Linked DNA regions of Sus scrofa. The protein of the gene in region 2 purifies or fractionates together with the protein of the main gene of each other region. This does not show direct contact. Links are inferred from orthologs where the notes say so. Each region holds a gene or a part of one and is shown on either strand. Other genes may lie near its edges.

What was found.
Region 1: the proteins of PTPN18 (region 2) and PSTPIP2 purify together in Homo sapiens (affinity purification with mass spectrometry; 4 studies listed by BioGRID and IntAct, with this or other methods). This does not show direct contact. The link is inferred for Sus scrofa from reciprocal best matches to the Homo sapiens genes PTPN18 and PSTPIP2.

The regions. Positions count from the first base shown.
Region 1 is NC_010443.5:95,724,131-95,730,455, reverse strand, and holds the start of PSTPIP2 (proline-serine-threonine phosphatase-interacting protein 2), read left to right. Parts: upstream 1-2,628; 5' UTR 2,629-2,734; coding exon 2,735-2,767; intron 2,768-6,325. UniProt on the Homo sapiens protein: Binds to F-actin. May be involved in regulation of the actin cytoskeleton.
Region 2 is NC_010457.5:31,962,840-31,969,103, reverse strand, and holds the start of PTPN18 (tyrosine-protein phosphatase non-receptor type 18), read left to right. Parts: upstream 1-2,532; 5' UTR 2,533-3,437; coding exon 3,438-3,530; intron 3,531-5,856; coding exon 5,857-5,965; intron 5,966-6,264. UniProt on the Homo sapiens protein: Differentially dephosphorylate autophosphorylated tyrosine kinases which are known to be overexpressed in tumor tissues.

The DNA.
Region 1 (6,325 bases), on a different chromosome or scaffold from region 2:
GATGGAACCCACAACATCATGGTTCCTAGTCGGATTCATTAACCACTGTGCCACGACGGGAACTCCCTGCCCATTTTTCAATTGGGTTGTTGGCTTCTTTGCTGTCGAGCTGTATAAATTGTATATTTTAGAGATTAAGCCCTTGTCAGTTTCATCGTTTGAAACTATTTTCTCCCATTCCATAGGTTGTTTTTTTTTTAATGGTTTCCTTTGCTGTGTAAAAGCTTGTCAGTTTGATTAGGTCCCATTGGTTTATTTTTGTTTTTATTTCTTTTACCTTGGGAGACTGACCTGAGAAAATATTTGTAAGCTTTATGTCAGAGTGTTTTGCATATGTTCTCTTCTAGTTTTATGGTGTCTTGTCTTATGTTTCTCTTTAAACTGTTTTGAGTTTATTTTTGTGCATGGTGTGAGGGTGTGTTCCACATATTACTTGTCTTTTTACTAACAACACCTGTCCAGGTGATGAGCTTAGTAAATGAGGAATGAATAAGGAATATTTTCTGGAAGCGTGGACAAACACTTGCAATTTACAATATTACCACCAGGTGGTAGAAGAGAGTTAAAATTCAGGGATCTTTGAGGTCTGAGGCAGGCAAATCAAGCACTATGTACCATGAAAGGTTTTTATTTTTTTGTCTTTTTGCCTTTTCTAGGGCCATACCCACGGCATATGGAGGTTCCCAGGCTAGGGGTCTAATCGGAGCTATAGCCGCCGACCTTCACCAGAGTCCAAGCTGTGTCTGTGACCTATACCACAGCTCAAGGCAACGCTGGATCTTTAACCCACTGAATGAGGCCAGGGATTGAACCTGCAACCTCATGGTTCCTAGTCGGATTCATTAGCCACTGAGCCACTACGGGAACTCCCATGAGAGATTTTTTAAAATGTTAAAAATGAAAACTTAGCAATTAGAATTGTACTTAAAATATTTTTTCCAAGATATTCAAAACTTCCAGGAAAAATCTTGATGCTGTCTGTGGCACTTCCCCAGTTGGCATTATTTCTTACTCCTGCTGTTTAGCTTGTCTTCTTGTGCCCACTGTGGCCTCTGTTGCTTCTGATGGTGCTGCCAGGCTTCCCTTTCTTTCTTCTAACTGGACTGCTTTGCAAGGAGATGAACAACCAGATGAATGGATGTATGTCCTTTGAGTGACCCAGGCAAAGCTGGAGGCTACTTCTCATCTTTGTTGTTGAGGATGACTCTACTGTGGGATTTTACTACAAACAGGGTGGGGCTTGGGGTGAGGGTGAGGGAGTGGGGATTAGGGGTGGTATTACCAGGCAGAACCTTACAGCTGTCCTTCAGACTACCCTGGCAATTGTCTTTTCACTGTGTCTGAAGAAAGCTAGAACCTGGGAAGCAAAACTTGCCTCTGCAGGCCTGAGGTTGTGGGCTGGGCTTGAGCACTCAATTTTTGCACCTTTTTTTTTTGGTCTTTTTAGGGCCGCACCTGTGACATACAGAAGTTCCCAGGTTAGGGGTCGAATCTGAGCTATAGCTGCTGGCCTACACTACAGCCATAGCAATGCCAGATCCCAGTAGTGTCTGTGACCTACTCCACAGCTCTTGACAACTCTAGATCCTTAACCCGCTGAGCAAGATCAGGGATGGAACCCATGTCCTCATGGTTACTAGTTGGGTTCATTACTACTGAGCAACAGCAGGGACTCCTTGGCATTCTTGACTTTCATCCTTCTCTCCTTAAGTGGATCTGTCCCAGGAGTGACCTCTTTGGCTCCTGTCCTGTTTAGAAGGGCAGAGCTGTTCATCTTTTAAATATGCTGTGATCTTGGGCAAGGCAATCAGCCTTTTTGTGCCTCAGTTTTGAATCAGAAAGTATAGCACAGAGCCATACTTGTCCCAGAGTGCCATATTACTACAATGCAGGGATGACTTGCCTTGGATTATGTTTATGAGGGTGTTTATGAGGCAGCGTGGAGGAAGAGGAAAGTTCGGGCTCTTACTGTTGGAGTGGGATTGGTGGAGAATAGTCTTAGGTCTGGATCCTGAGAATGGGGAAAGATCGGGAAGGAGCTGAGTTCCCAGACACCTTGTAAGGATCTCACTGAGGGACCTGGAGTCAAGGGGAAACGGTATCAATGACTTTTCCATGTCTTTTAGACTAAAATGTGCCCAGGGGCTTATCTGTGGCCCCTCAGGGATCCTGCACTTAACTTGCTGAAGCGTGCGTGCACACTTGACGCGGCCGCTGGCATTGTCAGGGCTCAAGCTTCACAGATCCGACGTGGGGACCCCGAGATCACCTGTGATCCGGAAGGGACTCCTTCAACCACCACGCTGAGCCTGGGTTTCTCCGCGAGGAGCTGGGTCGAGGGAAAAGGGGGCTGTGGGCAGGAATGGGGCCTAATTCGGGGAGGCGACAGGACCGATCCTCAAAGGCCTCGCGAAGGAGAGGGATGTAGGACTAACTAACTGATGCCTGACTGCGGAGCTCCAATCTGCGGGCCGCGACTCCATTCCGCTCCGCGCAGCGCTGGGTGCGGGGCGCTGGGTGCGGGGCGCTGGGTGCGGGGCGCTGGGTGCGGGGCGCTGGGTGCGGGGCGCTGGGTGCGGGGCGCTGGGTGCGGGGCGCTGGGTGCGGGGCGGGGCAAGCGGCGGCGGGGGCGTGGCCTAGATCCCTGGTCTGGCAGCGGCGTCCACTGCCTGTGACAGTCCGGTCCCCGCGCGCCTGCTCCGGCTGTACTTGCCCTGCTCCCCGCGCGCCGGCCATGACGGGCTCACTGTTCAAGGGGAATTTTTGGGTAAGTCCGCGGGGCCGGTGGTCCAACGTCGGGCTCGGGAGCCAGGACTCTGAGGGGAACCTTGGCCCCCTGTCAGGTGCTCGCGGGCAGAACCTGAGCGGACGCGCCTCTGCGTCCCCTTTGCCCTGTCCCCAGCCCCTGCACGCCCGCGGGTCCCCAGGCTCCTCTTTGGGCCGCCCGCGCTCCTGGACACGCTGGCTGGGTGTAGCCGAAGCCACCTTAGAGTCGGGACATTCCTCCCGCATATCACTCTTGGGGAAACCGAGACCCAAAAGGAGAAGCCACCCTCCAGGGGAGAGTCGCTGGTGGCCCCCGAGGCTGCGCCGTGAGCGGATTGGGGGCACGTGGGGTGGAGAACCTGGGGTGGGCTTCGCGGGTCTGGTCGACTTTTCCAGGTCCACAGCCTGTCCGGGCCTCGGTAGCGCCTGACTTCCCCCTGCAGACCATAGAGAGATTCTCTAGCAGAAGCTTTGCCGGGTCCTGAAGCCGGGTTTCCTGAGCGCCTCCCGGCCTTTGCCCCCGCGGGTGCGTGTGTGAAACCCTGCGAGCTGGTCAGGGTATCCGAGCCGGAGGATGGAGCCCAGCCAGGAGGCAGCAGGTCCGCCTGCCCTCTCCCTCTGTCCAGCCTCTTCCCTCCTGTCTTCTCACTCCCGAAAGAGTTGGTAACCCCTCATTCGGAGAAACCACCCTCATCCCTTTAAGGCAGAAGCAGGATGTCTCAAGATTGACTTACTGCTGCCACAGGGCCCCATCTCTTTCTTGGGACGCTGCTCGCCCCCTTTTAGCTTCATAGCTGTCCAGCAGGTCTCTGCCCTCTATGGGTGGAGAAACCTGGCCCTGTAGCCTCCAGGACACAGTTTAGACCTTGCCTTATGAGGCCCCTTTTTCTGGAGTTTTTGAGATTCTTCTGGGGCACTGGCCACCTGTAGGGTACAGAGCGGTGGAAGCTTCACAAAGATGATAAACATGGAGTTCCCGTCGTGGTGCAGTGGAAGTGAATCCTAAACCATGAGGTTGCGGGTTTAATCCCTGGCCTGGATCAGTGGGTTCAGAATCCAGCGTTGCCATGAGCCGTGGTGTAGGTCACATGCACGGCTCGGATCTGTTGTTGCTGTGGCTGTGGTGTAGGCTGGCAGCTGTAGCTCCAATTAGACCCCTAGCCTTGAAACCTCCATATGCCCTGGGTGCGGCCGTAAAAGGACAAAAGACAAAAGACAAACAAAACAAAACAAAACAAAAAAAACCCAAAACAACAAACACCCCAAAAACCAACCAACCAAACAAAAATGGTAAACAGCCTGGCAGCTGGCCCCTCCAGAAGGCTTGGGAGTTATTTGTGTAGAATATAGGACTTTGGGGTCCCCTGACTAGGTAACAGGGTGGTGGTGGTGGTGGGGGGGGAAGCAGGGCAGAAAGACCTACCTTTTTCACCTCAAAATGTGACACACAGTTTTCAGGCCTCTGCCTTCTTTAGAGAAGCCTTTCGTGATGGTGCCCCCATAAGCACATGTTCTGTTCTTTCATAGCATTTGTCAGTTTCTGGTTTTGAGATTGGGGGCCTACAAGCATGTGAGCACCTCATGGACAGGTATTGTGCTGGCTTTCAGTGCCCCTGCCCCTTGCTCGGGCTGATGCACAGTGGTTCTCAGCAGATGGTTACAGTGGATTTGTATGGGTGACAGGGCGTGTAATGGGATGAGAGCAGCAGCAGCCTCCACTCTCAGAGGGCTCCCAGGCAGCCCCCACCCCCCAAGTCTTTTCCAAGGGAGACATGAGTCCTAGGTTGGGAGTTAGAAATTGGGTGAAGGTCCAGGGGAGAGACCTTTCTGGGTTTATACTTTTTTCCCCCCTCTTGGCTTTTAATTTCTGAATATATTAGACCCTAAGAGATAGTTTGCAAAGGTATCTTCCATCTCTAATTTCCTGTAATACTTTATGTCAAATAATAAAAAACAATAATAGCTAAATTACTATGTATAAGTCTGTAGCAAACACTGTTCCAAATACTTTGTACATACCACTCATTTATTTCTCACAACTGTTATCTGACTTACATCTCACACCTACCACTGCTTACTGACTATCCTGTTTTAGAGATGAGGAAACCAAGTGGCAGAAGGGTTAAGCAACATTCCCAAGTTTGTAGAGCTATTAAATAGGACTCTGTATCCACCAAATGCTCAGTGAGTGCCTTTGATGAGGCTGGTGCTCAGTGAATGTCCTTTTGACACCTCCGGAGGTAGATGAGGGGGCATCATTTGACTCTTGATGTGGATATCTTTCTTTTTTCAGCTCTGACCATGAGCTCCTCTGGGGTTTGTGCTGGGTACCACCATCCACTGAGCCCCCAGCACTGCAATGGTTCTTTGCATATGGATGCTTAGGAATCAGGCAGATGGAAAAGTCAGCCTGGATTTGGGGAGAAAAGGAGCAGAAGGGAAACTGGTGAAGGCCTCAGGGCCTACCTTCGGCACCCTCACACTCTTAGGGCTCGGGGGTGCGGGCAGGGCTGTTATTAGCATCGAGGGGATGGCAATCATTTTCATGCTTCAAGGACAAGAAGGTTGTGATTGTATAAGGTAGAAAACTTTGGAAACACAAGTAGATATCAGTTGATTGAATTTAATAAATATTTAAAATACCTTCTATGTATGAGCTCTGGTGGAGGTGGCATTTGTAGGAGGTAAGACCAGCCCTTGGTTTGATGGTAGAGTCCTCATGAGGAAGCCAGCAGGGAGGGCAGGATTTGGCCTTGAATGCCAGTCCTCAGGGATGTAGAGGAGGAAAGGGTAGGGGGATGGGAGAGTCCAGCAGGGCCTAAGAAAACTGGGCCAGGGGTAGACAAGGTCTGTTCCTGGGTGGAAAGCATAGGAAAGGGACAGGAGGAGACAGATGGGGGAATGGCAGAGGGTAGAAGAAGTCAAAGCCATAGGACAAGGTCATCAATTGTTGGGTAGTTGGGAGGGGAAAGCAGGGCTTAGAGGAGGCTCTGTGTGAGGTGAATAGGAGAATGCGGAGTGGGCCCCAGAAATAAGGAAGTTGAAATGAGGAACTGGTTTGTGGGGAGAGGAGGAGGAGGCAAAAGTGATATTGACAATATTTAACCACAGGGGTAGCACTGTGAGGACCAAGGCCAGCAGCACCCTGAACCAGCCTCCCAGCCCGTTGCCAGGGTTGCTGGATATAGGGAGGGAACAGGGTGCCAGACAGCAGAGTTTGGGAACATTCTAATATTTTAACAATCAGTTGCAGGTGCTCAGTTGTCAATATTATAGGTTTGGAGAGCTGGTAGATATGGCCCTGGCAGCTTGGAAAGGGTGTCCAGGCAAGAGAGTGCATAGGACAGCATAAAGTACAACGGAAGAGTTAGCAGCAGAAGCTCTGTGGTGCCTGGTCAAGTGTGAATCCAGATCTGCCCATTATAGCTGGGTGACCTTGGGCAAATTACTTCAACTCCCATTCTCCGTTTTTCTGTGTAGAACAATGAGGATAATAACAATGTCTGCACTATAGGACGGTTGTGAGGATTAAATCAGAATTTGGTATGTGCTGAGCACA
Region 2 (6,264 bases):
AACAAGAACTCCCAAATTCTGTGTATTTCATGTTATATATTCCAAATATATTATTTCAGATATCTAGTGGCATTTTCCTGTTTGCCAAATGCCAGATTTGTGGATGGACCAACAGGTCAGCCCACCCAACCCAAAGGTTCTTAACAGAGTGGAGCAATGAGAGAATTTTTTCAAATTTCTCCTTTTCTTTTGTGGCCTAGCAAAAAGGGAAGCCAGAGAAGAACTGTTCAATAGGGATGTCACAAACTTTCTAGGTGAAGGTGGTGTCTGCCAAGTTTCTCCACTGTTAGTTACAATTTCCCCTTTGTGGCATTGGTGCAGGCTGGGTTCTTCACAGCACTGTGAAATCTCCCCTGAGCACCTTCCAGCACCCCATCCATTTGGCTGTATTGGGTGGCCAGTTCATCTAGCACTCTGAGCTGGCAAGCAGGTGGCAAACTGGCAGATGGCATGTGGCCTCTGGAGTGCTCAGGTCCTGTAGGGCAGTGCCAGCTGGTCTTGCAACTCAGGACTGCTGCCAGTAGGGTACACAGAAGGAGCAGTCAGTCCCATTGTAAAAAGGCAGCTTGCAGTTCTGTGGGGGAACAGAAAGGGGCAGCCAGGGCTACTGGAGGAGGTCTTGGGGAGTCTTCCCATCCCCCATATCCAGCTGCGCTGATCAGAGGGCAAGTCAGGAGAGTTTGGATGTTGGAGAGACATGGGAGGGCCAGTGTCAGAAGGGCAGTCTGGAATTGACAGAACGCTAAACCAGCTATAATGTAAAAATTAAAAATCATCAAAAAAAAAAAAAAAAGGCAGGCTGGTTGAACAGGAGGGTATAGAATGGAGAGGTAGACATGCAGCCAGAAAGATAGATACCCAATGCTGGAAGCACAGCAGGTGGATTGAAAGTCTTAGCCACTTCTATTCACAGGCCACTTAGGCAGAAGGATCCCCCAAAAGGCTTGCAGACAGACACATAGCCACCTGGTAAGACAGATTTCCAGGTAGAGTCCTAGGGCGAGACAAACAGACCACAGCAGGACAGCCAGGCAGATTCTTGGACAGGCATCCAGAAAGACCTGTGTCCCTCCCACCCCACTTCCAGCCAGCCAACAGACAATCACTCAAGAACAAACAGAGGGCCCTGCCACTGGACAAAGATGTTACTCAGTGGAGAGACACCCCACTATGCAGTCAACTAGCTAGCCAGACCTTCAGCTTGACAGACTTAAGCTCTGCCAGGAAGACAGACCCAGCCTACAAGAAAGTCAAGCCCTCTGGACAGACAGATGCCCCCCCAAGCCAGGGAGAGAGTAGTCATAATATATCCCATCCTGTTGGGCAGACCCTTAGCTGGAAGTGGAACACAAGATACCCAGCTGGCCAGAACCCTTTTGCTGGGTCAACCACCCTGCCTCCCTGTCACCACCATAGATGATATGGTGGCTCACTGACTCAGTGTTGCCTCTGATCCCCAGATATCACCGGTTTCCAGTGACCATTGCCATCCAATGACATCCACCATGAGCAGGGTCCATAAAGGCCTTTTGTGCTCCCACGGTGGCTCTCCCCCACCCCTTTACTCTGGTATCCACTACCCCCAAGTGACTGCCATTAGTGTCCATGAGGACTCAAAGATTTGGGTCTCTGGCTTCTCCAGTGAGCCTCAAAGTCTGCTGGTATTTCCATGTCTTGCAACCCTGTGTCTCCAGCAGCCATCCAAGAAATCTCTGATCCCACTGACATTCACTATCAGCCCTGAATAGGAGTCCTCGATGACCTTCCCTGACTCTTTTGACACCTCAATTACTTTAACATTCCAAGTCCCAGTGGTTACTTTCAGACTCTGACCTCCCAGTGACCGCTGCTGACATCTATGGATAGTCTGTGTGAATACCTTCAATGAGTTCACTATCAATGTCCATCCTTGGTGATCACTACTGACCCCCTTTGAACTCTCACAGGTGATGGTGATAAACAGTCAACAGTGATTTCTACTAATCGCTCAATGAGAGAAACACTGACCTGCTTTCACCTCAGTCACTTAAACTGGGATCAGAAAACCACAGCCTGCAGACCACCAAAACTTTTGTGACAAAATTTCAGTGCCCACGAAGTTTGCAATACAATCACACTCATTCCTTTACATATGCCTTTACATATTTCACAAGGCATGGCAGAGTTGAGTAGCTGGGACAAGGACAAGGTTTCTTAAAGAACCCAAGCCCTTTAAGAAACAGTTTGCCTGTCCCTGACTTAAACAGCACGCTAATGAACTTTATCCACACCCCTTACCCTTGAGGTGAGGGGTGGATGAGCCCATCTACACTGGCGGGTCCTTGGGAAGGGGGCAGGCTCCTCTCTGCCCTCTCCAGCCTCTCTTAGGGGCTGTATACTAGCTTTCACATTTTTAAAGACCAGAGTGTAGTGCAAATAAAGCTGCTGAAACTGTTCCTGTTGTGGCTCAGCGGCTTGCAAACGGTCTAGTATCCACTAGGATGCATGTTTGATCCCTGGCCTCAGTGGGTTAAGGATCTGGCATTGCAGAGAGCTGTGGTATATAGGTCGCAGACGCAGCTGGGATCTGGATCTCGTTGCTGTGGCTTGGCCTAGGTCGGCAGCCACAGCTTCCATTCCACCCCTGGCCTGGGAACTTCTATATACCGCAGGTGCGGCCATTAAAAAAGCAAAAACAAACCAACAAAAGACACAAACAACTCTTTTAAAAGCGTGGAGAACACCTAGTCCCCTGAACCCACTTCCAGGCCTCGGTACTCATTTTCCAATAAGGTTTATGTGAGTTGAGATCCTCAAATTTGGACTGGATTTTGGCGTCCTCAACTCTTCTTTGCACAACTCAGAAAAAGAAGCAATCTTAAGAAATACAAGGATTCAGCCCCACAGCCCAGGTGCCCGGGTGTCATTTTCCCCTGCGGCTACCTCCCCCGACCTCTCTCGGACCCCGCCGGAGTGCACAACGCGGGACGGTCCCCACGCGGGGTCCGCCAGGCACAAGTTGCAGCTCAAACTAGGCGACCAGCTCCACCCACAGCTGCCGCACCACCCCTTCTCGGATCTGGACAAAACCTAGCTCCCAGGACACCAGGCCGGGTGAAGGTTCGCTGTCATGCATGCCCCGGCGCGGACTCCCGGGTCCGAGGAAGGAGGTGTCCCTGGGATCGTGCGGACTCAGCCAAGCCCGCGCGGTGGCCACAAAAAACGGAAGCGCCGGGGCAGGACAAGTTTTTGGCCCAGCAGCGGGTCCTGGAGCCTGTGGGCGGGGGCGGGGACAGGCTCTGAGGGTCTTTGGCTTAGGGGCGTGTCCTGCCCGTCGCTGCGCACTTCCATTAGCTGGCGAGATTGGAGGCGGGGCCTCGGCATCCTCCCACGGAGTCTACACTAGCTAGGAGCGCGGAGCGCTGCAGCTGGACGGGACCTTGCTGGCCGGCGGCGCCATGAGCCACAGCCTGGACGCGGTGCGGAGCTTCCTGGAGCAGCTGGAGGCGCGGGGCGGCCGGGAGGGGGCGGTCCTCGCCGGCGAGTTCAGCGTGAGTGGGCGAGTGTGGACGGCGGCGCGGGCTTGCCCTGGACGATCTGGACGTTTGTTCTTCTGTGCGCTCTGCTGCGCTTTGCCTCTGTTTCTGGCGTGCAGGGGCGTCTCCTCGCCTCCAGGTCTTTTTCTCTCCCCAGCACCTCTCTCTGTCGCAATCTCTCCCTGTCTTCACCGTCTGGTCCGCAGAGCCCCGGAGGGCGAAGTCCACTGCTGGGCTGGGCGGGGCCGCACACGCCCTCGGGTCCTGGAGCCCTCGCTTCGCTCCCGGAACCATCCCGTTGTTGGGCAGGCTGGGCGGGGGAGGGCGGGCGTGCACCTGTGCTGGACGCGCGACACCCGGCCGCTCCTGATGACCCGGAGGTCACTCCTGTGGTCCTGGGGAAGAAGGGGCTAGGGGAAGAGGAACCAAGAGGCCCCGCTGCGGCAAGGGTGTGGTCACCAGCTCAGATAGGCGCTGTGGCCCCGGGGGGTTTTACCTACCCCCTCTGGCCTCGGTTTCTCCTTGGGTGAGTAGCGGACGTTGATGACTAAACTGACCTGAGGATTAAAATAACCAGTGTGGGTAAAAAGCGCTAAGCACATCCTGAGAGCTCACTTCACAGACGACTTTGTCACTAATGGTAATATTCGAAACTTGACAATGGAGTAATGCAAGCTATACGCATGGAGTGGTGATGCAGTAGCGTCATGGGCATCACATACTACACGTGCTAAGATGTTTTAAATATAACATAGAAACGTGCTGTGCAAATATGTAAACACAATATATGGTGACATATCTCAAATTTAAAAATAAGTTTAACAAATATATGTGTATAAGCATTAATAAATGACTAGATAATCATTAAGTACAATAAAAATTGCTAACAGAATCAAATTAATGAAATTAATACATATAACATCTATAGTGAATCTGTATAAATATGATCATACATTATAATTTTCATAGCATTAAAGTTCATAAGGAGTCCCCATCGTGGCGCAGGGGTTAATGAATGCGACCAGGAACCATGAGGTTGCAGGTTCGATCCCTGGCCTTGCTCAGTGGGTTAAAGATCTGGTGTTGCTGTGAGCTGTGGTGTAGGTCACAGACTCGGCTCAGATCCAGTGTTGCTGTGGCTGTGGCATAGGCAGGCAGCTACAGTGCCAATTAGATCCCTAGCCAGGGAATCTCCATATGCTGCTGGAGCAGCCCTAGAAAAGGCAAACAAACAAACAAAAAGTTCATAAAACAATAGAATAAACAAATACAACATGGAATTTACAAAATAAGCAGTTATTCAAATTCCTAAGTATGTGACAAATAGATAAAAGAAATATACAGATATAAAAATAGATGTTGTATATAACAAATGTGTAATAAACAAAACATGTAATTTATTCAGTATGAAAATGTACATAGTAAATATAAACACATAATACCCAGGTGGTACATGTCATCATGCCCATCTGGGTCTGGGTCCAGTCTGGGACAGTGAGCAGTGCTGAAGACCCCTGTGCAGAAGGCTAGGTGGTGAACAGTGCCAGTTGCTGGAGGCCACCCTCCTGCCAGCAGTCTCCTGCACTCACAGGAATCTTTGGGTCTCCCTAGGCTTTGGTTTTTTCATTTCTACCGATAGTAGAAATATCGGTAGTGGTACCCACTGCACTAGTGTGTCCATGGGATTTAAATGACCTGATGGGTGTAAGTACACTGGGCTTGCACCCAGTGGTGGCTTTGTAGGTGTTCCTTATTATCATGATTATAAATACCTGATGATGATGGTAATACAATTCACTAATTATAAAGATCTAACAGTAGTAAAACAGCTACAGTGTCTAGTTTCACAAGTCATTCATGTACATTGTATATTGTCCTATATATTGTGTATCATCATGTTTTTTATATTAACTACATAATATATTACAATTATTGTTCACAACACAAAGTAATACATTTTGAGTGTACAGGGGTTAGATACTCAGAGGTCTGAGTTCAACACTCACCTCACTCCTGGGTGGGACATTCAGCAAGTCACTCAAACATGTGGTGACTCAACTTTCTCACCTGCACAGTGGATACCTCAATAACAGTACCTACTTCAGAGGGATCTTGCAGATGTCCCTTACACATGTCCCCTCAATGCCCTTACAGAGTCTGGCAAAGAGGAGGCACTCTTGAGTCGCTACAATTATTGAATTTTTATGATGCTGCATTCACCTCTTGTAGGTCACGTGCTGTGTATCCCCGTGAGATCCTCAGTGTCCTAGGACTCTGACCTGGCTCCGCTCTTTGCTCTCTCCTCCCTCTCCTGGGTCTTCTCTTGCTGTCTTCCCTTCAGGACATCCGGGCCCACTCAGCTGCCTGGAAGACTGACGGCGTGCTCTCCACCGAGGCTGGTAGTCGACAAGAGAATGTGAGGAAGAACCGCTACAAAGATGTGCTGCCATGTAAGTCATGGCTGGGAATGGGGGTGAGGCCTTCCCGAGGGGTTGGTGCAGCTCCTAAGGTCCCCACCCCATGGGCAGTCCTGGTATTAGCCCGGATTCCCTGTGTCACCACTGGGCTCCCAGACCTTGCCTCCCAGAGCTCTGCTGTGGCTGCATTTCTCCCTAGCAGCCCATGAGTACACCTCGGTGACATCCCTGCTAGGTATACCATCTGTCCCCTGCTGGCTTTCATCCAGGAGACCATCAGGGCCTTGATGTCCCTGTCACCCCCAAACTCCATGTTTCTCATCTTTCCCGCT